Cricetulus griseus: one gene and its partners. The protein of the gene in region 5 purifies or fractionates together with the protein of the main gene of each other region. This does not show direct contact. Links are inferred from orthologs where the notes say so. Each region holds a gene or a part of one and is shown on either strand. Other genes may lie near its edges.

The links.
Region 1: the proteins of Sec13 (region 5) and Nup160 purify together in Homo sapiens (affinity purification with mass spectrometry; 4 studies listed by BioGRID and IntAct, counting the BioPlex papers as one, with this or other methods). This does not show direct contact. The link is inferred for Cricetulus griseus from reciprocal best matches to the Homo sapiens genes SEC13 and NUP160.
Region 2: the proteins of Sec13 (region 5) and Nup85 purify together in Homo sapiens (affinity purification with mass spectrometry; 5 studies listed by BioGRID and IntAct, counting the BioPlex papers as one, with this or other methods). This does not show direct contact. The link is inferred for Cricetulus griseus from reciprocal best matches to the Homo sapiens genes SEC13 and NUP85.
Region 3: the proteins of Sec13 (region 5) and Nup98 purify together in Homo sapiens (affinity purification with mass spectrometry; 4 studies listed by BioGRID and IntAct, counting the BioPlex papers as one, with this or other methods). This does not show direct contact. The link is inferred for Cricetulus griseus from reciprocal best matches to the Homo sapiens genes SEC13 and NUP98.
Region 4: the proteins of Sec13 (region 5) and Nup37 purify together in Homo sapiens (affinity purification with mass spectrometry; 5 studies listed by BioGRID and IntAct, counting the BioPlex papers as one, with this or other methods). This does not show direct contact. The link is inferred for Cricetulus griseus from reciprocal best matches to the Homo sapiens genes SEC13 and NUP37.
Region 6: the proteins of Sec13 (region 5) and Sec16a purify together in Homo sapiens (co-immunoprecipitation; 4 studies listed by BioGRID and IntAct, counting the BioPlex papers as one, with this or other methods). This does not show direct contact. The link is inferred for Cricetulus griseus from reciprocal best matches to the Homo sapiens genes SEC13 and SEC16A.

The regions. Positions count from the first base shown.
Region 1 is NC_048599.1:86,090,450-86,094,435, reverse strand, and holds the start of Nup160 (nuclear pore complex protein Nup160), read left to right. Parts: upstream 1-1,186; 5' UTR 1,187-1,244; coding exon 1,245-1,344; intron 1,345-1,595; coding exon 1,596-1,707; intron 1,708-3,986. UniProt on the Homo sapiens protein: Functions as a component of the nuclear pore complex (NPC). Involved in poly(A)+ RNA transport.
Region 2 is NC_048600.1:128,167,608-128,171,107, reverse strand, and holds part of Nup85 (nuclear pore complex protein Nup85), read right to left. Parts: intron 2,141-3,500; coding exon 2,019-2,140; intron 200-2,018; coding exon 65-199; intron 1-64. UniProt on the Homo sapiens protein: Essential component of the nuclear pore complex (NPC) that seems to be required for NPC assembly and maintenance. As part of the NPC Nup107-160 subcomplex plays a role in RNA export and in tethering NUP96/Nup98 and NUP153 to the nucleus.
Region 3 is NC_048596.1:97,176,051-97,180,179, reverse strand, and holds the start of Nup98 (nuclear pore complex protein Nup98-Nup96), read right to left. Parts: upstream 2,801-4,129; 5' UTR 2,662-2,800; intron 2,571-2,661; exon of another isoform or gene 2,424-2,570; intron 1-2,423. UniProt on the Homo sapiens protein: Plays a role in the nuclear pore complex (NPC) assembly and/or maintenance. NUP98 and NUP96 are involved in the bidirectional transport across the NPC. May anchor NUP153 and TPR to the NPC.
Region 4 is NW_023276806.1:154,185,360-154,188,859, forward strand, and holds part of Nup37 (nucleoporin Nup37), read left to right. Parts: intron 1-2,443; coding exon 2,444-2,625; intron 2,626-2,973; coding exon 2,974-3,024; intron 3,025-3,500. UniProt on the Homo sapiens protein: Component of the Nup107-160 subcomplex of the nuclear pore complex (NPC). The Nup107-160 subcomplex is required for the assembly of a functional NPC.
Region 5 is NC_048601.1:31,064,201-31,067,700, forward strand, and holds part of Sec13 (protein SEC13 homolog), read left to right. Parts: intron 1-322; coding exon 323-456; intron 457-3,500. UniProt on the Homo sapiens protein: Functions as a component of the nuclear pore complex (NPC) and the COPII coat. At the endoplasmic reticulum, SEC13 is involved in the biogenesis of COPII-coated vesicles.
Region 6 is NC_048599.1:137,833,481-137,837,575, forward strand, and holds the start of Sec16a (protein transport protein Sec16A), read right to left. Parts: upstream 2,801-4,095; 5' UTR 2,645-2,800; intron 187-2,644; exon of another isoform or gene 76-186; intron 1-75. UniProt on the Homo sapiens protein: Acts as a molecular scaffold that plays a key role in the organization of the endoplasmic reticulum exit sites (ERES), also known as transitional endoplasmic reticulum (tER).

The DNA of each region.
Region 1 (3,986 bases), on a different chromosome or scaffold from region 5:
ATCTCCTTGCTTCCAAAAGCTGCTGTAGAGTACCAATATGCCCACCCAACCCGATGGCTTTGACTTTCAAGATAAACAGAGCAAGGGTGAGAAAAGTGTGGGCAGTTACAATCTCAAAATACTCATTAAGGTAGTAAATCGTCAAGGAAAATATGATTGCTGGGGTAGAATTATCGAACTGCCCACTTTTACGGTTCTGATGGAGTTGCCAAGGAAAATGTTCAGCTGTAAATGTGGATCGAAGTCGTGGCCAGTTTTATCTATTTACTCATTTTTTTTCACAGACAAAGTCTCACTTTGTAGCCCCAGGTGGCTTTGAATGAGCAATCCATCTGCCTCAACATACAGAGTGCTGAGAGGTCCCAGGGAAGAATAAATAGCAATTCTTTTGCACGTTTGCAAATTGACTGGCACTTTGGTAATCTCAGGAGGTTGCAGCATAATGCTTAATTCAACATGTTCGACCCCTGTTGGTCATTGTGGCACGTGCCTGTAATCCTAGCACTTGGGAGGCTGAGACAAGAGGATCAGAGCTGGAGGCCAACCGGGGCTAAAAGGGGAGTTGCTATCCCAAAACATGCTTGTATACGAGGATGTGTAAAAAAGTCTCCCAAAGCTGGGCGTTGGTGGCGCACGCCTTTAATCCCAGCACTCGGGAGGCAGAGGCAGGCGGATATCTGTGAGTTCGAGGCCAGCCTGGTCTCCAGAGGAAGTGCTAGGATAGGCTCCAAAGCTACACAGAGAAACCCTGTCTCCAAACACCAAACCAAAAAAAAAAAGTCTCGCAAAAATGCCAACACAAAAGGTCTGTCTTCCATGCACTTTTACTCCGTTTCGCTAAACGATGAAGAGACAGGGTGACAACTTACTCGCCGACAATGAACCGAGGGGAGGTGACCGCAAGTGGCTCTGGCTAAGGACACTGGCCTCCTAGGGCCGCCCGCCCGCGCCAGCTTTTCAAAAGGGAAACACATACAGCCCCGCCCCTGCTCGAGGCCGCCGGGAAAGGGCGCCGCCGCTGTCGCCGCCGCCGTCTGTGGTGACCGCAGGTCGAGGCGTCTTCCTCCCTCCTCAGACTCATTCTCGTCGTGAAAACCCGCGGCTGACCGTCAGAGCCGCAGCCCTCAGCCAGCGACAGTCACAAAGACAGCGCAATAACTCAAACCGGGCTCTACGCTCCCGGAAGTGACGACAACAACGCGACCCGCCCTTGTCCCGTCGGGCCTAGCGGCGACGGCGGGAAGATGGCGGCGGCGGGATCCCTGGAACGGAGCTTCGTGGAGCTGAGCGGAGCTGAACGCGAAAGGCCCAGGCACTTTCGGGAATTCACAGCCTGTGGCATTGGTACGGAAAGGGCTTGGGGGGATGGGGGCTATCGCTTCCCTTCGGGCCCCTCGAGTGCGACTTTGGCCTCCTCCCTGGTTGAGCCAAGTCCACATGCCCAAAGCCTGTGCATCACAGCCTGACTTCTTTCTCCTTTCCCCGCATCCTATTGTATACATTGTCAGCCGCTTGCACTCTGCTTCCTCAGCACTCTTCAGTGCCTGTCATCCCCAGAGAACCACGTGTGCAAGCTGACCACATTCATTTTGCAGGGACTGCAAACGCTGTGTTTGGAGCGGTGAAATACAGTGAGAGCGCGGGAGGCTTCTATTATGTGGAAAGTGGCAAGTTGTTCTCCGTCACCAGAAACAGGTTCATTCATTGGTGAGTGCTGCGTTTCCCCATCCCCCTGGAAGGTAGGGTTGTTTGGTATATGAATATTCATGCCTGTTCTACATTATTACTTCTGGCAATAATCTACACATAGGACTAAAGAACGACTGTTAGTTCACGTCAGAATCGGTTCTAGGAGAGGTGTTCTCCTAGCAGTATAAAAACAAAGGAATGTAGTTGACATAACAACATTGAAGGCCCATTTTAGACACTAAGTTACAATGTCAATATAGTCTTTGAAGCTCCATTCTGCTGATGAGATTGAGTTTGTACATGTCATACATGGTGCTGAGTACTGGGAAATGGTGCAAGACATTGTAGTTATGTAAGGATAGAAATATAGTAGATGCCACTTTTGTTGGGTCAGTTTCGCATACAAAAAAGACACTAAACTAATAATATAAGCATATAAAATGTATGGACAATGAGAAGCTAATGGGACAATCAGATGCTGTTGGCCAAGGAGGGTATAGAAAGCCACAGTTAGATCCAAATGATCAAAAAAAAGTTAGCTAGACGTGGATGTAGCTAGGCAAAGAAGGATCCAGTAGATACCAGGGAGGAGAACTGGATTAGAGGGGAATCCAGGGAACAAAGAATCTGAATATCAAAGAAGGACTGAAAGAAAAAGGGTGAATGCATGAAGAAAGCACGTGGGAAAGCTAAGGTCAGTGTTTTAACTGAAGGAATCTTGGTTTTGGAGGCAAGTATGGTTGCTGGTTGGTAAGGTGATGGGAAGGTAGACTCCTACACCTTGGAGGAACCTTCTCACTTCTTAGCTTAGGTCTGGCCTTGTTTAAGCAAAATATGTGTCTTATTAGGGTTTCTATTGGTGTGAAGAGGGCTCAATATCAACTCTTATAAAGGAAAGCGTTTAACTGGGGCTTGCTTACAGGTTCAGAGGTTTAGTCCATTGTCATCATGATGGCACACAGGCAGACATGGTGCTAGAAAGGTAGCTGAGAGATCTATATCTGTGTCAGCAGGCAGCAAGAAAAAAGAATAAGCCACTGGGCCTGGCTTGAGCTTTTGAAACCTCAGTGACACACTTCCTTCAACAAAGCCACACCTCCTAATACCACTCCCTAAGCATTCAAATATATGAATCTATGGGGGCCATTTTTACTCAAACCACCACAGTATGTATTATCATTTCTTTAGTTGTATTCTTATTTTATGTGCATTGGTTTTGCTTGCATGTCTGTGTGAGAGTGTCAGACCCCTGGAATTGTAGTTACAAGACAGTTGTGAGCTGCCCTGTGGGTGCTGGAAATTGAAGCTGGGTCGACTGCAAGAGCAGCTAATGCTCTTAATTACTGAGCGATCTCTCCAGCCCCCCATCTCGGTGTTTTCTTGTATACTGCTTTAAACTATTTCCTGCTATGTTTCCTATCCCTCGGCAAGGATCAATAGATTTTTTTACAACTTTTACTCTAAGAATAGAAAAGCCTAGATTCATTCATAGCATTTTTTTTTCTTTCCTCTATTGTGGGTAAAATCAGTCAGCTGAGTCAAAACAACACCACAATTTACATGTACCAAAGATGACAGTCCCAAGAGTAAAGGCTGAATTTCAATAAAAGGAGTCAAGGTGAGAAACTTTTAGGTGGCATTTCTTCTGTCATTAGTCAGGGTAACAATTAAAATAAAGAAAACTCCTTTAATCCCAGCACTCGGAGTTTGAGGCCAGCCTGGTCTACCGAGCGAGTTCCAGGACAACCTCCAAAGCTACACAGAGAAACTGTCTCGAAAAACCAATAATAACAATAACAACAATAATAATAATAATAACAATAAAGAAAACTGCAGGGAGCTACTTGAAAGAAGTCAAATAAATTGGAGAAAGAAAATGAAGATAATTTGAAATGATAAAGCTCAAAAATGCTTTATAAATAGAACATTAAAAACATTTTTTTTTTTTTTGTTTAAAAAGGGAAGTTTATGTGTATGAGTGTTTTGCCTGCATGTATTTATGTGCACCACATGTATACATGGTGCCCTTGGAAACCAGGAAGAGATTGTCTGGATCCCTGGAACTGGAGTAATGGGTGGTTGTGAGCTGCCTTGTGGGTGCTGGGGATCAAACCTGGATCTTCTGAAAGAACAGCAGGTGTTCTTAATCATTGTGCCATCCTTCCAGCCTGGCTCTGGTCCTGAACTGATCTATTCTTGCCTTTGGTCTGTGACTCACCCCTAAGAGGTCCTACCACATCTTGATAGTGTCCTGAAGACTAAATCTTTAACATATTCAAGATCTAAACTAGCATGTT
Region 2 (3,500 bases), on a different chromosome or scaffold from region 5:
CAGACCTACACGTTCCCTGATCCCTATCTCCCAAGGCCGGGCAGGCAAGGAGGCTCCCACATACACTGAGAATGGGCATTGTCCTCATCAGGTCCCCAAGGATGCGGCACATGCTTGCACAGGAGGGGTTGGCATCAGCTTCTTTGGACAGCATTTGTCGTGCCTCATCCAACCGGCCCTGAAGCACCAAGACAGTCACCTGCAAAGAGATGGGAGCCAAGAGCCCCCAGCAGAAGGCTCGCTACTCCAAAGTGCTGATGCCTCCAGGCTGCCCTTGACCCGAGTCAGCAAGAACTCCTCCCTTCCAGCAGTGACTCCCAGTCATACCCTGTGCTGGCTGATTTTAAAGTAGCTTGACATGGGCTACAGTCATCAGAGAGGCTAGAACCTCAACCAAGAAAATGCCTCCATAGCATCAGGCTGTAGGTAGGTGGAAAGCATTTTCTCAATTAGTCATTTATTTGGGAGGGCCCAGCCCATGGTAGGTGGGGCCATCCCTGGGATGGTGGTCCTGAGTTCTGTATGACAGCAGGCAGAGCAAGCCATAAGGAGCAAGCCAGCAAGCAGCACCCCTCTATGGCCTCTGCCTCAGCTCCTGTCTCCAGGATCTTACTCAGTCTAAGTTCCTGCCTTGGCTTCTCTCAATGCACTATTACTCTGGGCTATGTAAATTAAGCCCTTACCTCCCCAAGTTGCTTTTGGCCATTGTATTTCATCACAAGAATAACAACCCTAAGATATGACTCCTTTAGCAAACTGTCAGTTTAAAGATAGCTGGCAACCAACTTTAAATGTTTTAACACCCGTGTGTGTGTGTGTGTGTGTGTGTGTGTGTGTGTGTGTGTGTGTGTGTGTGTGTGTGTGTACAGTTGTGTACCATGAGGAGGCCAGAGGACTATCAGGTGATCAGCACTTATGACTTAGTCCCTAGAGACAGGATCTCTCACTGAACTTAAGAGTTAGGCTGGTGGCCATCCCCAGCACCACATCACTGGGAACATAGGCAACCACGCCACCCAAACCTGTCAAAAACAACAACAACAAAAATTCCAGACCAGTAGGGCTACATAAGGAGACCTTGTCTCAAAACCCAAAGCAGACAGGCAGTGGTGTCACAGCCTTTAATCCCAGTACTCAGGAGGTAGGGATCTCTGTGAGTCAAGGTGTCAAGGCCAGCCTGGTCTACAGAGAGTTCCAGGACAGACAAACACACACAGCAAAGAAACCCTGTCTCAAAGGAAAACAAAAAACAACAAAAAACCAACAGCAACAACAACCAAAAATAAAACAACCAAGGATATTCTTTTTCTTTTGGTGATGCTAGAGATTGTGATCTCGAAGATGCCGGCAGGTATTCTAGGATGCCACAAGCCCCTGATCGGTGGTTCTCAATCTTACTAATGCTGGAACCCCAGCCATAAAATTACTTCATTGCTACTTCATAACTGTATTTTGCTACTGTTATGAATCCTTGTTTGTTTGTTTGTTTGTTTTTGAGGCAGGGTTTCTCTGTGGCTTTGGAGGCTGTCCTGGAACTAGCTCTTGTAGACCAGACTGGTCTTGAACTCACAGAGATCTGCCTGCCCCTGCCTCTCGAGTGCCGGGATTAAAGGCGTGCGCTGCCACCACCACCCCGAGCTACAGTTATAAATCCTAATGTAAGTATCTGCTATTTACATTACGGCCCTAAGCAGTCTACCTCAGAACAGCCACTGTGCTCATCTGCACTCCATCCCCACCTTAGTCCCCATCAACCACTTTGACCATCTTACCTTCTCTTCCTCAGCTCTATAAACAAATCAAACTTCCTTTCCAACAGCAAGTGTTACCCTTCATGCTAAATTAGTTTGAAACTACTCTGCAGCAGACAAAGAAAGATGTAAAACCGCTGCTAGGATCAGAAACTCAAAAGAGCCGAGCCAAGGCCTGGAGCAGTCGTCATTCTATAGCCACCTGACAGCACCAGGATGCAGAATGCAAGGCAGAAGGAAGGAGGGGGCTGCCCACGTTATACTCACCAAGTTCCAGAAGCTCTCATGTTTGCTTGGGTTCTCACTGCCCAGAACATCTGCCGATAAACTGTCTACCTCACACACGTGCAGTCGGACCCAGTCAAGAAGATGGAGGAGGAGAGGACCAGCTGAGGGGAGAGACTCATGTCACACACAAAGACCCCGGCTTCATCTGCAGCAAGTTCCACTTTACTCAAAGTACAGACACTGATGTTAAAGCAGAAAACCTGACTGCAGAGGGGTTTAATCTCCTGCAACTGGGAAGGAAAAAGCAAGGAGCTTACAAGTCAGTCCTCTGTCTCTGCAAGGCAGGACCATCTTGTTTTAACTTAAGAAAAGCAGTGTGGGAGAGAAAGACGCCACGCTACAGGGTTCAAGCAGAGGGTTTTTATTAGGGAAAGGGATCATAAAAAGGGGAAAGAGGAGGGGGGAGACTGGCTCCAGGGACAGGAGCAGCAGGAGAGAAGAAAGTGTGACAGAGGGGGAAGGGGAAAGAGGGGGATGAGGGGGAGGGGAGAGAAAGAAAGAGAGAAGGATGGATGTAGGCAGGGCCCTTTGGAAAGGGACCATCAGGTGCCTTTCCCATCACCACACCATCACCTGGTCATGTTTGATAATCTTGTGCCTCCAGTTCTATGGCCAACAGCTGGTAGTGCTGCCACAATGGCTGATTAAGAATGGTCAGTGGGAGCTGGAGAGATGGTTCAGAGGTTAAGAGCACTGGCTGCACTTCCAGAGGTCCTGAGTTCAATTCCCAGGACCCACATGGTGGCTCACAACCATCTGTAATGAGATCTGACACTCTCTTCTGGCCTGCAGGGATACATGCAGGCAGAACATTGTATATATAATAAATAATGGTCAGTGACTCTCCAAAAAACATTCCAGTGGGAGCAAGGAGGTATAGACGATGACACAGCTCCCATGAGTGAGGCAGAGAAGTAAGACCCAAGGGTCTGCAATTCCTAGCATCCCAGGAATTCAGACAGGGTTGATTTTGAGACAGGCACAGGCCTCCCAGTGAGGCGTCACTGAAATGTGGGGACCAAGGGCTCTGAGCTCAAGAGACACACAGTCCCCAGCTACCAGGACTTCGAGAAAAGCCAGAGGGGAGGAAAGGACCATGCTCCAGAAAGGAAGCCTCACGTGCAGGGCAATGGTCAGAAGTGGATAACCCCACCAGAGACCAATGGTTGGTATTGAATGGAAGGCAGAGCCATCAGTGAATGAAAAAGCAGCTTTGCGGCAGGTGGAAGAGCGGGTCTATTGAAGGTGGAGCAGGAGGGTGAGGTTCAAGCACGCAGTGATTACAAAGTGCCGGGAAGAGCATTTTTGGTCGGCTTATTCCCAGTGAGTGGAGCAGAGCAAGACCCAGTGGCTTTTGTCAAGCAAGGATCTAGCAAGAAAGGCACAAGCTGCTTGGGTGAATCGTCAATCAAGGGGCAGGGTCTGAATGGCCTGAGGTTCTGAGAAACCAGACAGGCACAG
Region 3 (4,129 bases), on a different chromosome or scaffold from region 5:
ACTCTGGCTGTCCTGGAACTCATTTTGTAAATCAGGCTTGCCTCAAACTCAGAGATCCACCTGCCTCTGCCTCCCCAGTGCTGAGATTAAAAGCACATGCCACCATACTCATTGATTTACAGATTATAATAATCTCAGAATTTTACAAAGTCTCTTACTAGAAATTAATCAATATTACAATACTCTATGTCCTAGACTGCTAGTACACAGTAATATGACAATAAATAACTTACTTTCCTAATCTGTGAATTTGGTGCGTGCTGTAAAAGTTTAGTTATTCTTAGATACCTAGGAGCTAGTGGCTACAAAAAAAAAAGAAAGAAAGAAAAAAAAAAAGTATTTCAGAAGTACACAAATATCTAGCCTTTTTTCTGGAATATTTTTCAGTTTAATTTTTCTGTATTTATTCATTCACAAAAATATAACTGAGGCCGATGAGCCATGTAACCTAAATACAAATTAATATACATGTTATTTTATGTTTGAGGCAGAGTCTCATATTGTAGTCCTGACTGGCCTGGAACTTGCTTTACAAACCAGACTGAACAAAAAGCCAGAGAGCCACATACCTCTGCCTCTGAAGTGATGGGGTTTTATTTGTTTGTTTGTTTTTGAGACAGGGTTTCTCTGTGGCTTTGGAGGCTGTCCTGGAGCTCGCTCTTGTAGAGCAGGCTGGTCTCGAACTCACAGAGACAGCCTGCCTCTGCCTCCCGAGTGCTGGTATTAAAGGCGTGCGCCACTACCGTCCAGCATGAAGTGCTGGGTTTAAGGACATTCAGAAAGACCAAAAAATATAAATTTTATCATAACCTAATAAAAAGACAAACACTTGAAATATAAAATGTGTGCTACAAGCAGAAGTATCAGTAAGGAAGTGTGTGAAAGCTTACATAGGAAAGCATACCAGGAAAAGTTTCCCAGGTTGTGATGTCCAAACAGATAAAATAGTACAAAAAAACACCAGGTCACAACTTTTAATATTTATACCACAGAACTCCTCTGTTCTCTTGAATTACTTGCTTTTAGGTTTTACTGTTTATATAAACATCAAATCTACAAGCTGATAAGTATGTTCAAATCAAACTGACAACTAATTTCGTGAAATCCTTTTTGTTGTTGTTTTGTTTTTCGAGGTGGGGTTTCTCTGTGTAGCTTTGTAGACCAGGCTTGGCCTTGAACTCACAGAGATCTGCCTGCCTCTAGCCTCCCGAGTGCTGGGATTAAAGGCGTGAGCCACCAACGCCTGGCTGCCCTCCACAATTCTTAAATGAGATGGATCTTCTATGTTGTCCAGGCTGGCTTCAAACTCCTGGGCTCTAGTTCTCCACCCTCAACTTCCATTACTGGTGACACTACAGGCTTGCAACACCACATCTATATTGACTTTTTAAAAATAATTTAAGCTGGGCGTTGGTGGCGCACACCTTTAATTCCAGCACTTGGGAGGCAGAGGCAGGCAGATCTCTGTGAATTTGAGGCCAGCCTGGTCTCCAGAGCGTGCCAGGATAGGCTCCAAAGCTATACAGAGAAACCGTGTCTCGAAAAACCAAAAAAAAAAAAAAAAAAAATTATTTTTGTTTTATATGAATTGATGTTTTGCCTTCATCTATGTCTATGTGAGGGTGTCAGAACTTGGGAGTCACAGACAGCTGCCATGTGGGTGCTGGGAATTGACACAGCTCCTCTGGAAGAGCAGTCAGTGTTCATAACTGCTGAGGGGTCTCTCCAGCAGCCCCTATATTGGGTTTACTCACCCCCAACGCCTGGGTTTTTTTGGGCAGTGTCTCTATGTGCAGCTCTGGCTGTCCTGGAACTCAGTATGTAGAGTAGGCTAGCCTTGAACTCAGAGAGAGCCGCCTGCCTTTGCCTCTCAAGTATTGGGATGAAAGGCGTGCATCACTAAGCCTGCCTCTTGAACTATTTTTAAAGTTTAGTTCTCAAAAGTCTAGGTTAGGGCTGGTTGTAATGGCAAAGACCTTTAATCCCAGCACCGAGGAGGTAGAGGCAAGTGGTTTCTTTGGTTTCGTGGCAAACCTACATAGTGAATTCCAGATCAACCAGGATTTGAATGAGATCTTGTCTCCCCGAGCTCCCCAAAAGTTTACATCGAGGTAATACTAATAAAGTTCTATTATCTTACTATATAAGCAAAAATGGTAGCACCTAAATGGAAATGTTTTGAACACTATGTCAAATGTCCGTTTCCTTCCCCCTACCAAATACAGAACAGCCAATAATGAGAGACTGGAACATACAGGGAGGGTGGAATAGTATAAAAATTCTAGGCTTGAGTCAAGACATCTGCCATTACTGAGTCCTCTCCCACCTTACAAAACCTCTGCACGTGATGCAGAATGGGGGCATTGACATAGAATGTCTTAAACGCTATGGCTACAGTAATTCAAGAATCCAATCTTTCTCACCTCGGTTTACACGAACATGCGGCAGAACAGAAAAGAACCTTTCATTCGGTTGACCAGACCCCTCCAATCGCCAGACAATGTCTTAAAAAGCTAACGCACTTCCGACTCACTCAACCCTCTGGTTAACCCTAGACAAGACGCGTACTGTAGAGTGGTCAAAGAAGTGATGGGGGGGGGGACCTCACTGAGTCCCCAAGGCACCATCCCCGCAAGGGCCAGCCTACCGCGGGCTGCTCACCTCTACCCAGCGAATGAATGAGTAGCACCGGAGACAACGAGGTTCCCTCAGCGTGGGCTGCCACCCGAGGCCCCCTGGCCTACGCCCCACGCGTGTGGACTCCCTCCCAGGGCCTCCCGAGCCAAGCCGCAGGGCCGCGGGCCCCGCCCCCTCACGCAGGCCCGAAGGAGCGCGCCCCGCACGAGACTGGGAGGCTGAGGGCCCGGGGCGTCCCGCGCAGATGCCGGTCCAAAGAAGAGGACCCGCCCGCCCGGCCCCAGCAGCACTCCCGACTTACCGCGGTGCGTCTGGGGTGAGGGCCCAGGTCCGTCTGCCACCCGCCGCTCACAGAGCAGCGCGCGGCCACCAGGAAACCGTCGCCGCCGCCGAGGCCGCCGCCGCCACCGACCGCCGCTTCGGGCGCAGCGCGCAGAGGCCCGACTGCGTCACACGCCGTCCGCCGTCAGAGGCCAGCCCCGGGCGTTCCGCCCTCGCCAGCCGGGCATTGGCAGGCCGTTCCGCCACTCGAGGCCTACCGTGTTACTCATTGGGCGACGAGCCTTTTGAAACCGAACGTGAAGGCGGTCTCTGAGAAGGAGTAGAGGGGAAGAGGAGGGGCGTGAGGAATTGGGTGGGGAGAAAAAAAAAAAAAAAGAGGGATGGTGGGGAGGGACCTGGAGTCCCACCCCTTTTGCCGCGACGGTTGGCTGATAGAGACTCGCGACGTCACACACGGCCCCTCGAAGAGGGCTGGGGAGTGGCTAGAATAGTGAGCACCAAAAAGCGGTGACGTTGTGCCGAGACCCCGCCCCTTTCCTTGGAGCGCGGAGACTCGGGCTACGGAAGCTCCGGCCAATCAGAGGGAAGGCCCAAGGATGACATGGTAACTGTTCTACCCTTCTTTAGTTCAAGTCTGCGGGTAATGATGGGCAGGCTCTCAGGCCACCCAGCTGGCACTTTCGGAGCTTGAAAACCCTTTTGGGATACCTATCAATCCATGTGGCTTATCAGCAGCCCTTCAGAGACCCTCAGTCCCCACTGTTGTTCTTGCCGGTCCAAGCAAGTCTTCTCACATCCTTTCCTCTGAATCTCTAAGGTAGATCTGAGCAATGGTCTATTATAAGGCTTGATCCCAATGAGGGTTCTGCTTCAGCTGCAGCTTCAGAACCTGTGCTGTTCTGGATGGATTGGGTGCAAATGTACTGCCTTCTCCAGGACGCATTTGCTAACCTCAACAAGTTGGGGTGATGCCTGGGCGGTCCTCTTATCAGGACTTGTTACTTTGTATCTTATTTTTCTATTCTTAGACTCCTCCCTCCCCTGGTGTTGGTCAAAGTTGCGTTTTCATCCTTTTGGTGTCTGTTTCCTCCTGGGATCTAGCTAAGAGCAGAGGAGTGGGCATGTTCTAGAAATCAGACCTGTCTCGTTATTGAGGTCTCACAGAGGAGCAGGACTGTGCTCAGAAAACAAGCGTGCATACTACCTTTCC
Region 4 (3,500 bases), on a different chromosome or scaffold from region 5:
CCCCTGACTCAGTCTTCCTGATCCCTCTTGTTCTCCTCCCCGCTTGTCTTCTCCCATTCTCTTTTTCCTACCTCCCTCCCCTCTCCATGCTCCCAATTTGCTCAGGAGTTCTTGTCCCTTTCCCCTTCTTTGGGGGACCATGTATTTCTCTCTTAGGGTCCTCCTTGTTTCCTAGTTTTCCTGGTGGTGTGGATTGTAAGCTGGCAGTCCTTTGCTCTATGTCTAATATGAGTGAGTACATATCATGTTTGTTTTTTTGTGACTGGATTACCTCACTCGGGATGCTTTCTTCCAATTCCATCCATCTGCCTGCGAATTTCAAGATTTCATTGTTTTTTTTTTTCTGCTAAGTAATATCCATTGTGTAAATGTACCACATTTTCTCCATCCATTCTTCGGTTGAGGGGCATCTAGGTTGCTTCCAGGTTCTGGCTATTACAAACAATGCTGCTATAAACATAGTTGAGCATATGTACTTGTTGTATGAATGTGCATCCTTTGGGTACATGCCTAAGAGTGGAATTGCTGGATCTTGAAGTAGACTGATTCCCACTTTCCTGAGAAACCACCATATTGATTTCCAAAGTGGCCGCACAAGTTTGCACTCCCACCAGCAATGGAGGAGTGTTCCCCTTTCTCCACATCCTCTCCAGCATTAACCGACATTGGTGTTTTTGACCTTAGCCATTCTGGAAGGTGTAAAATGGTGTCTCAGAGTTGTTTTGATTTGCATTTCCCTGATGGCTAAGGGAAGTTCATCATTTAGGGAAGTCATGACAGCAGGAGGCTGCTGGTCACATTGCATCTTTGTTCAGTAAGCAGAGTGTGATAAGTGCCAATGCTCGACTCACTTTCCTTTAGTGATTACCTTTAGTGTAATCCAGGCCCAGCCCATGGAGTGATGCCACCCAGGGATATCCCCACTTCAACTGGCCTAATCTGGGTGGGTGATCACTCTGAGGTGTGTCTCCCAGGCAGTTCTATGCCCTGTCAAGTTGACAATCGTTATTAACTGTCACATCATATGTGACAGCATTTTATAAGCCAACCCTGTCATTCAGGAGTTGAAAATGGCAGAAATATCAATCTAAAGATCCACCTGAGTCCTTTTCAAATTGTATGACCACCCGTAGATTTACAGCAGTACATATGCTACAGAGGAATCCAGTGTCCTTTGGTGGAACAGCATGTCACTGAGTCACAGCAAAGCCCAGATCTCCTGGACTGGCTAAGCCAATTTTAAGAGGTCAGATCCCAACAGGACTCTGCCTTAGACAACTGATGGTACAGGGGGAAGAAGACATAAGAGTCAAATTGAGTTTACCCATATCATCACAAAGCATTCCCACTAATATGTATATTCGTATCCCGGAATCCCTCATCCTATAATTCAAGAGAAGGTCTTACAACTAGCAGGGAGAAGTGTTCTCTCTCTTCTACCTCAGTCTATCTTTGGAAACATTCTGTTAGTAACACATGCTTTCTTTCCCAGTGAAGGGTTCTGTGTGCTAGCAATATAGCTTTAAAGAGAGAAGATTGCATTTTTTTACAACTTGATTTTAAAATATTTTTCAAATTTTATAGCCAACAGAAGTCGAATTATCAACAGTATACATGCTTCATTTGCATCTCCAGCATCATCAGCCTCTTGTTTCAGCATCTGCAAGCTTTGGAAGGTCGCTCCCATCCTTGCCAGGATTAGCCTTTTCCTTTCGATATTTTGTGCAGGCCTTTGTAAGCTTGGGACCTGACTTTGCAGGAGCAAGGTTAGCAGATAATGATGTGGTTCTTCTCTGTGGCTTGCCCTTATTTCCTTTAGTATCTATGTCAGCTTTTCCTTTAGACATTATAGAGATAAGACATAGGTGGTAAACTTGAGGACACAGTGGTACCCAGCATTAGTCCATCTTATAGTGGCTATCCTCGCATCTCCATTTCAAAAATAAGAGAGCTACCAGTCACATAGCAGTCACTCAGTTTTAAGTGTAAGAAACAGCCACCTTTCTATCCAGACCTGTCTGTCTTCTTTGGCTGTTCCATGCTGCCTTCTATTTGTCAATGGAAAAATGTAAATTGCATAGAAATGTCAATATAAATCACTTGTCAAAGTATAACATAATGGCCTTTCCTAAGTTAAAGGTAGCTTTTCCTACACTATTAATATTGATCTTTCTACTGACAAAGCTGATACCCTAAAATTTAATGTAACTTTTTTGTGTCTTTTTGCCAATTTCCTCTGTAGTGTTTTTGTATTTGATACCATTTCATAACCTCTCATTTCCTATGCATTTGACTTGTTTGTGGTGTGTGTGTGTGTGTGTGTGTGTGTGTGTGTGTGTGTGTGTGTGTGTGTGTGTGTGTGTTTATGACATTGAACCTCTGCTTCTTTCTCAAACTTAGCTAATGAGATGACATGGAGTTCCCTTCTTCCCCTGTGTTACAGCTGATGGTTGCAGAGAAGAATGGAATGATCCGGTTTTATGATCTAATGGCCCAACAAGCAATTTTATCTCTTCAATCAGAACAGACACCGTTAATGTCAGCACACTGGTGCTTGAAAAACACCTTCAAAGTTGGTGCTGTGGCCGGAAATGATTGGATTATTTGGGATATCACTCGGTCCAGGTAGTTATTTAGTGTATCTGTCTGTTACATTACATAAATCTGTTGTTAAATGATCCATTGGGCCATTTTTGTACTAGGCCTCCATGTGCAATGAAAACAAGTCTCTCCTGTAGAAGGGCAAGTAGTTCTAGGAATGTTAGAAAAGAAGAAAAATGCTGACCCTTTGGTGGCCTAGAGTAGTTCTGAGTGATGTCGGTTGTTTTCTGTCTATCTCCATTTGAGTGCTTATTGGAATCTTGTGGCAGCTTAAATTTATTGGACTTCAAAGAGAAAACACCTTTAAAACCTTTAAGTTCACCTACTTGAATCTAACACATAATTTGCAAAATGCAAACTCTTGTTTTATAGTTATCCTCAAGAGACAAGACCTGTTCACATGGATCGAGCACACTTATTTAGGTAATGTACTAGTTTACTGGAGCTGTGTGAATCCTTGATATGATGGTATGTCCCTAGCAGAATAATTCCCCAGCCCTCCCCTTTGCATTGGAGTTTGTCTGCTTGCTTCATAAGGGTTATCTTCCTTTCCCTACTGCATAGTTGCTTACTCTTTTGCTTTAGGCAGGCTGGAAATCTACTTTTCACACATGCCTTTAATACCAGCACTAGGGAGGCAGAGACAGTTGGATCTCTGTGAGTTCAAGGCCAGCCTGGTTTACTTAACAAGTTCCAGGATAGCCTCCAAAGCTACAAAGAAAAAAAAAAGAAAGAAAGAAAATGGTTATCATTCACAGAGAACATGTAGCCAGTCTACTAATACTACCTCAATGTTGGAATGGATTATGCTTCGTCCTTGTTCTGTGCTAATAAATACAAATATACATAGACCTATATTTACATACAAAGATCACTGTATTTTAAACAAGGCCATGCCA
Region 5 (3,500 bases):
TGACAAAATCCCTTCCCTTGCTTGTCCATCCTTTGGACACTGGTTGGCTTTTCCACGGCTGAGGTCAGTCCCCAAGACCTAAAGCCAGTCCAGAAAAAGGTTTATCAAGAACAGTGAGGCTTCCCAAGATAGCCTTGAATCTCAGGCTGCCACTCCTCCTTGCTTTGTGAGGACAGTCTTAGGAAATGCTGTTAGGTGTGTTGATTTTTCCTTATTTGGCCAAATGTTAACTGGCCACTTGCAACCCCTCTGGTTTTTCTAAGAGTTTAGCAAAATTGCAGATGTATGATAAAAGCCTGCTCACTGTGCCTCCTTTCTACAGTGAACTCTGTATGCTGGGCCCCTCATGATTATGGCCTGATTTTGGCCTGTGGGAGCTCGGATGGGGCCATCTCCCTGCTGACCTATACAGGGGAAGGCCAATGGGAAGTGAAGAAGATTAACAACGCTCACACGGTGAGTCCAACCCCTACCTTTTGCATGGAGGAGAGCATAGTTGCTGTGCTTAAGTCTTCTGTGCTCCCAGGAGGAGACTGAGAATCCTTGCTGAGAAGTGGCTATAGGTTAGGTACTGCTGGAGCCTCTTTACTCTGAGGGACAGCAGCTGCACCAGCCTTCTCCGTCCAAGGCAGAGGTGGCACTGGTTTCTCCTAGTAAGCCCCCAGGTTGGGGGTAGAAGTGTGGGGGCCTTCAACTACTATAGAAGCTTGGCTACAGAAGCCTCAGGCTGACATGCATTAGGGGTTCCCAGAACTCAGTGGTGTTTTAAAGACTGGCCTAGAGATCAAGTTCCCTGTGCTTTCTAGCACTTGGACCTTAAGATTGAAATAGTCTAGAAAGCATTGTGGAAAGTGGAAACTCACATTTCTTGAGCCCCTAACTGGATGTCTCATAATTCTCAAACACAGTTGTACATGAAAGAACAAACTAGCAAATACTAATTTTTCAGGGTTTGCCTAGGGAGGGGTGGAGTTGGTGTGTCAAACCTTCATTCATTTTTCCTGTCTGATAATGGGCATGTTCAGTTTTTATTAGTAAATGTTGCTATGAATGTTATGGGTATGTTTTTGTATCTCTGTTTCAAATTCCCTTGGGTATATATCTTTCTGTAAATAGCTGGGTCATCTGGCAATTTCATGTTTACCTTTTTGCTTTTCAATTAGTATATAATCATTGTGCAAAATTACAATTTGGGACATTTTCATACATGCATATCATATAGTTAGATCACATTCACCTGTTACCCTCTCATCTCCCAACAGTCCACGAGTCCTCTTCCCAAATAGTACCTCGTCTATTATCATGTCTTGGTTTTCTTTTTGGTTAGTTTTTTTGCTTGTTTTTTTTTTTTTTTTTTTTTGAGATAGGGTTTCTCTGTGTAGCTCTGGCTATCCTGGAACTCTCTGTAGACTAGGCTGTTCTTGAACTCACTGCCTCTGCCTCCTGAGTGCTGGGATTAAAGGCGTGTGCCACCACCACCTGGCTTGTTTATGTCTATTCCATATGTGATAGTTGTCCTTCTGAGTGAGGTTTATTTCACTTAACATGATGACCTTTAGTTCCATTCATTTTCTGCAAATGAAATAATTTCATTCTTCCGTGGCAGAATGAAGCTCCCTCCATTGTGTATCGAGGCCCCGTTTTCCTTGGTCATTTTCTCTGGTGGTGTACAGAGGGCTGGCTCCAGTTTTTAGCTGCTGTCAATAATGCAGCAATAAACATGGATGGTTGAGTTATTCCTGTGCTGTGCTGACTCAGAGTCCTCTAGATAGACAGATAGATAGATAGGTAGGTAGGTAGGTAGGTAGGTAGGTAGGTAGGTAGGTATGTATACAAGTCACAGAGCAGAACCCTGTTGGAGTTCTTTTCTGTAGTGGCTGTACTAATTTACATACACCCCCACCACCTTCACTGTGTAAGCGTTCTTTCTCCCACCTCATCCATCCTGGAATTTGCTGCTGTTTTCTTGATGGCTGCTTTGCCTAGGGAGGGGTGGAGTTGGTGTGCTTTTGTTTATATTTCTTGAGTAACTAGACAAACATTGTTTCATGTATTGCATTTTTACTGATCCTTTTGAGAACTGCTCAGTTTATCTGCCATTTATTGATTGAATTATTTAGATCTTTCACAAGTGCCCTTATCCACCAAGCCATCCTCCAGCCCTTGTACAGCTTTAAATATTGTCACTGTTTTATAGCCTTGACATTTTACCTAGTCATAGAAAGTTTCTTCTGTGGCCATTCCTATTTGTGGTTTAAATGCATCTTACACTTGAGCCCATTGCTTTTTTTTGGGGGGGGGGGGAATTAGTAAAGTTTTTTGCTGTGATTACATTGGGTAGTGTTTCACTGCTTTTAGTTTTGATCTTAACTCCTCCTACCCCATAAATTCTTAATCTTTTAATCATGTCCTGGAATTGATTGAATTTGGGGTTACACTTGATTGATTTCTGTTTGAGCCGCTGAAGTGAGTTACATCCAGAATTTTGTTGGTCCTTGTTGCAAATCAGTCTGTTTCTTTGTTTCTGTAGTGTAATGTATGCATGTGTACGTGTTCATATGCATGTGAAGACACGAGGTCAATGTGTGATGTCTTCCTCTATCACCGCCCGTCTACCTTATTTTTTGAGACGGTCTCACTGAAACTAAAACTCATTGATTTGACTAGACAGTGCCAGGGATCCTCCTGTCCCTACCCCCTAATACTACAAGTGTGCAAGCACACATCATCATGCCTGTTTTGTTGTTATTGTTTCCTTTTGGTTTTTCAAGACAGGGATTTTCTGGGTGGCCCTGGCTGTCCTAGAACTCACTCTGTAAACCAGGCTGGCCTCGAACTCAGAGATCCGCCTGCCTCTGCCTCCTGAATGCTGGGATTAAAGGTATGCGCCACCACCACCTGGCCCATTCCTGTTTTTTAATTCAGTTTTCCTTCATTGCAGCAAGCACTTTACTTACTGAACCACCTTCCCAGCCCTAGTCTGTATCTTAACTAGTGAATTGAGATAATTTACATTGGGAAACTGAGGTAGGAAGGAGGGAAGCTCTGCCACCAAACAAAAGAAAATTAAATATATAAGCCAATGATCAGGGTTACCATGAAAAGTCATTATTTGGTCATCTAGTTGTTTTGACTCCTCTTTGATGGTGTCTTCTCTAGCTCATATTTATATTAGTTTTTTTGTTTTGGTTTTTTTGTTTGTTTGCTATTTCTCATTTTCATGTGTACTTTTCTAGTGGGATTTATTCTCCCATGGGCAATCCATGGGTAATCTTTCTTTCCTCTCTGGTACAGGACCTCCCCACCACCACCACCACCATCATTCACAAGGCTAGTCTTGTAGCCAAGTTCCCTTGGATTATGCTCTTAGCTGAAGCTCTTCATTTCTACTTTGAGACTGTACTATAGTCCTTTATTTTCTTTGAGGACTTAACACTGCCCTCCTGGCCTGTAGGGTTTTTGCTGAGAAATCTATTGGTCTAATAGTTTGCCTTTAAGGT
Region 6 (4,095 bases), on a different chromosome or scaffold from region 5:
TTGCTAGACTCATATTTCCAACAGGCAGATCCCAACAAACCTCAGGAAAAAAAGGGGGAGGGGCATGATCCTCACCAGTGTTTTTTTGTTTTTGAACAAGGCATAATTCAAGTCTGGCACCTTGAAAGCCCTTTTCTTTTGTCAGACCTTCTTCCTGGCACCACCCTCAAAAAAAAAAAAAAATTGCTTAGCTAATCCACAGAAAAACAAAGCAAAGGCCGTTTAATTCAGAGATGTACACTTTGTTCTTGAACATCTTTCTGATACTTAGATTAAAATAAAAAAAGATATATTTTAAGTAAAGCCATTTACAAAAGGCCTCTAATCCCTACCTAAATGTTAGTTCTATTAATCTATTAACTCAGTTCCATTACTGCCCACATATACTCCTTTCTATGTGAATAGAGACTCCTATCTGACTAGAACCGTCATATGGATTACAACAGAACTTCAATTAGAAGTAATGCCAGGAGTTCATTAGGCTCTTCTTGTTTTAAGTTAGAAAGAACATTGCTGTTTCACTTTACACAAACCAAAAGTAGGAGAGCGCAGAACTACTATGGACACAATAACATGGATCTGGAGCCAGCTAACAAAAATTTCCATGTTCCTCCTGAAACCTGGTTGGCAAGTGTAAAAGGCAGAAGAGGCTACCCTTCATTTCAAGATTTTCAAACACCAAAAACAATTAAAAACAAACAAACAAAAACTAAAGTACAATACACTGTACAGGGCTGATATATCAGCTATCAGCAGGTTGGGTATACATTGAGCAGCTCAGGGCAACTACCTCTCTCTGCAACTAAGTTTCTACATCCACAAAATGAGAGAATAAGTTTCTTTTTCCTAAAGTTTCTTCCAAATTTACTCTTAAGATTCTACCTAAAGATTCTTCTTTAAAGGGTCTAGTCCCTATTGCTGCCTACCAGAATCTAAATTGCCTAAATTTATACTTTTGTTTGTAGAAATTTGGAATTATTTTCTCAATAACAATAGACCAAGAGCTGTTTTATGAGCTAACACTATCACCTACAAAGAAAACCCCCAGCTCCCATGCCCAGAACTTTTCACAATATGCCTGTTTCAGGTGGAACAATCTTGTGAATTGAACATGATTCTTTTGGGGGGAGGGCAGGGGTTGAGACAGGGTTTCTCTTTATGGCCCTACCTCTCCTGGAACTAGCTCTGTAGAGCAGACTGGTCTTGAACTCACAGAGATTCACCTGCCTCTACCTCCTAAGTGCTGGAATTAAAGGTGTGCACCACCACCAGCCAGGGAACATTACTCTTTTACTTTTGTTTACTCACCAACAGAAAGATAATGAACTGCATAACATTTATCTCAGGATTATGTACACTTTTATTCTGTTCAGCCAGTTATCTGCTTTTCAAAAAAAGCACCTGTTTCAGAGAGACCTCAACTGCTTCATATTTACATACATATCTACGCATGACATTCTGTGTAACTGAGGTGTTTAAAACACATCCCCTCATCTTACTGCCACTGGCTTAACAACTGTAAACTGTAACCATAGGGGCACACCCCCAAAAACAGTAGTGAGTTCCACTCGGCCAACAATTTCTCCCATAGTGACTGCTAGTGATACACTTAATGGATAGACAAGATAAACACCTTTTCTAAGTCAAAATCTGAACCTCAACCTTTGAAATGTTGAACAGGGCATCCACAGAAAAGGAAGGGCTATACACTAAGTGAGGAAGACACACGAGGACACAATGATATTCACAAACGATTACAAAAGCAAGAGAGGATATCAAACTCTGCACAGCATCTCAGAAAAAAAATTCCAAGGGCAATTTGGAGATTCACTCAGGTAAATGCCACCAAGAGTAATGACTCAAAGAAGAACCAATTCCTGCTTTGCCTCTTATTTGCAAAACATAAGCACTGAAACCCTAGGAAAGACTTTGTGGAGAAAAAGTGCAAGGAGGTTGCGCTGTGCTGTAACTTGCAATAGGACCCGCAGGGATAGTAATCCGTGAGTCTGCTGTTTCTTACTGCCATACTCAGGATGGAAGACGCCTATAGTTAACATATTTGAAAGGAAATCTCCACCAGTGTACGACCACTTTACAAGCCACTCAAAAATGTGTGTAAGCAAAGCAGCCAGAGTTGATTCTACAGGACTTAGTGTCCATGCCGACACCCTTCTACACCTTGACAGAAAACACTCACGACCTCCCTTCCTGCTCTGCCAGCCAAGGGATTACAAATAAATGCTGGTTCAAATGAAAATGTATCCCAGCTCTGCGGATCCAACGAGAATCAAAAATCTTCAGTACCCAGCAGAAGTCATGCTCGACAATTTCCTGCACCTTCCTTCGTTTTAAAGAAGTTGCAGGTTTCTCCTGAGGCGTCACGGTCTGGCCGGGCTAACACCTTCCCTAGTGGCCGACCAGTTCCCGCGGGCCCCCGGGACAACCCACCAAGGCGACGCGGTCCGTGGCCTGTCCGGTGTCTCAGCACCAGGCGGCCCGGTACTGTGGTTCTCCCCAGACCTGGCGGCGTCTCTGGAGATGCGCTCGCCACTCCGGGCTAGGCCCGGTGCTCCTGCGCCTACCCGGCCTCCACAGCCTCGCCCGCCCACGGGCCTCCGCCGTGATCCACACGCTCAGCCCTCACCCGCGCAGCTGCAGCTGGCCTCTCAGGCGCCGGGGACTGAAACCCAGCCGGCGACAGCGACGGCAGTACGGGGAACTACCGCGTACTCAGCAGCAGCCGCAGCCATCTTGGCACATCCGGCTCCGGTCGCCGCCGCCGCCGACGTGTCCGACGGCTACGTCAGCGCGCGCCACGCCCCTGAATCGCCCCGCCTCTCGCCCTCGCCCAGTCTTTGGCGGCCTCACCCCCTTGCCCCGCCCCCAATGTCCTGCCCCCTTGGCATTGCTCCGAACTGGTTCGTCAGCGCCTCAATCTCGCCACGCCCCTTTTTGACTCGGTCCCGTCTCGTCCAGTTTTTCGCTCCTTCATCATTTTGTCCCGCTCCATGGCCCCGCCTTTTCTTTAGCGCTCCCTTTCGTCATGCCCCTCTTGACTCCGCCCCTCGTTCTTGTCCAGTCTTTCGCAGCCTCGTTCCTTCGCCCCACCCCCATAGGTCCCGCCCCCTCGCGTCAGTCCTTTATAGCTACACCCTGTGGCCCCGCCCCTCGCCCACCTGTCCGGCCCGGAGCGCGGGCCCCGCCTCCCGACGTCGCCCTGGTTACGCCGGTTCTGTCCTGCAGGCTTCCTGTTTTAGGATTTGACCAGTCAGGGTTCTTCGACTGAGACCCCCAGGGAGAAACAGTCTGGAAAGACCGAAGCCGTCAGGTCTGCTGAGTCCAAAGCCCCAGAGGGCCCTGCTGCCCTCTCCCTCCCCATTTTTCCGTTGGATACCCCTGGACGCCGAGGGGTGATTGCGCGTGCGTCACCCTGCTCGCGCGAGTGGCTTGGTTGTCACCTTCTACGGGTTGGACAAGCGCGTGCGCCGGGCCGCATCCGTTGCTTGGTTACGGCTTTCTCCTGCAGCCTGCCGGGTGCGGTTCTCCCGGCTGCTGTTTTGGCCTGGGGCTGCCGGGCGCGCTCATGCCACCCGCTGGCGTCGGCCAAAGGAGAGGAGCCGGAGCCAGATGGCTCGGTCCTCTAACCTCCCTCACGACTCCTCCCGGTGGGACGTGGCCTCAAGCCCCGGGCTGAGCGCTGGACCTCTTAGACCAGGGACATCCGCAGGTCAGGCTGCGTCTGTCGGTGCAGAGGCTCTCTGGAAAAGGTGGGTGTTGTCATCTAGGAAGTGACCAGGCCCGGCCCCTTCACCTTTATTCCAGAGGACACAAAGGTGCCGCGCCTGCGAGGCAGCCTGACCAGTGGAGGACCCAGGAGGAGGAGGGAGTGTGGTGGAGCTGGCCAGCGCTCAGCCACGCAAGCAGAGCCGCGCGAGCTCCGAAGGCCAGCTTCAGCCTGTCTGACGTGGCGCTGTGTGGGTCACTTTGTAAAGCTAACATTTGTCTTTTGAGAGCCAGGTTCCCAATCTCTTTAAACACAGGAGAACACATGGTAAACTTAGTCCTAGGTTCCTAAGGAGAAGCAGCAACCCCAGC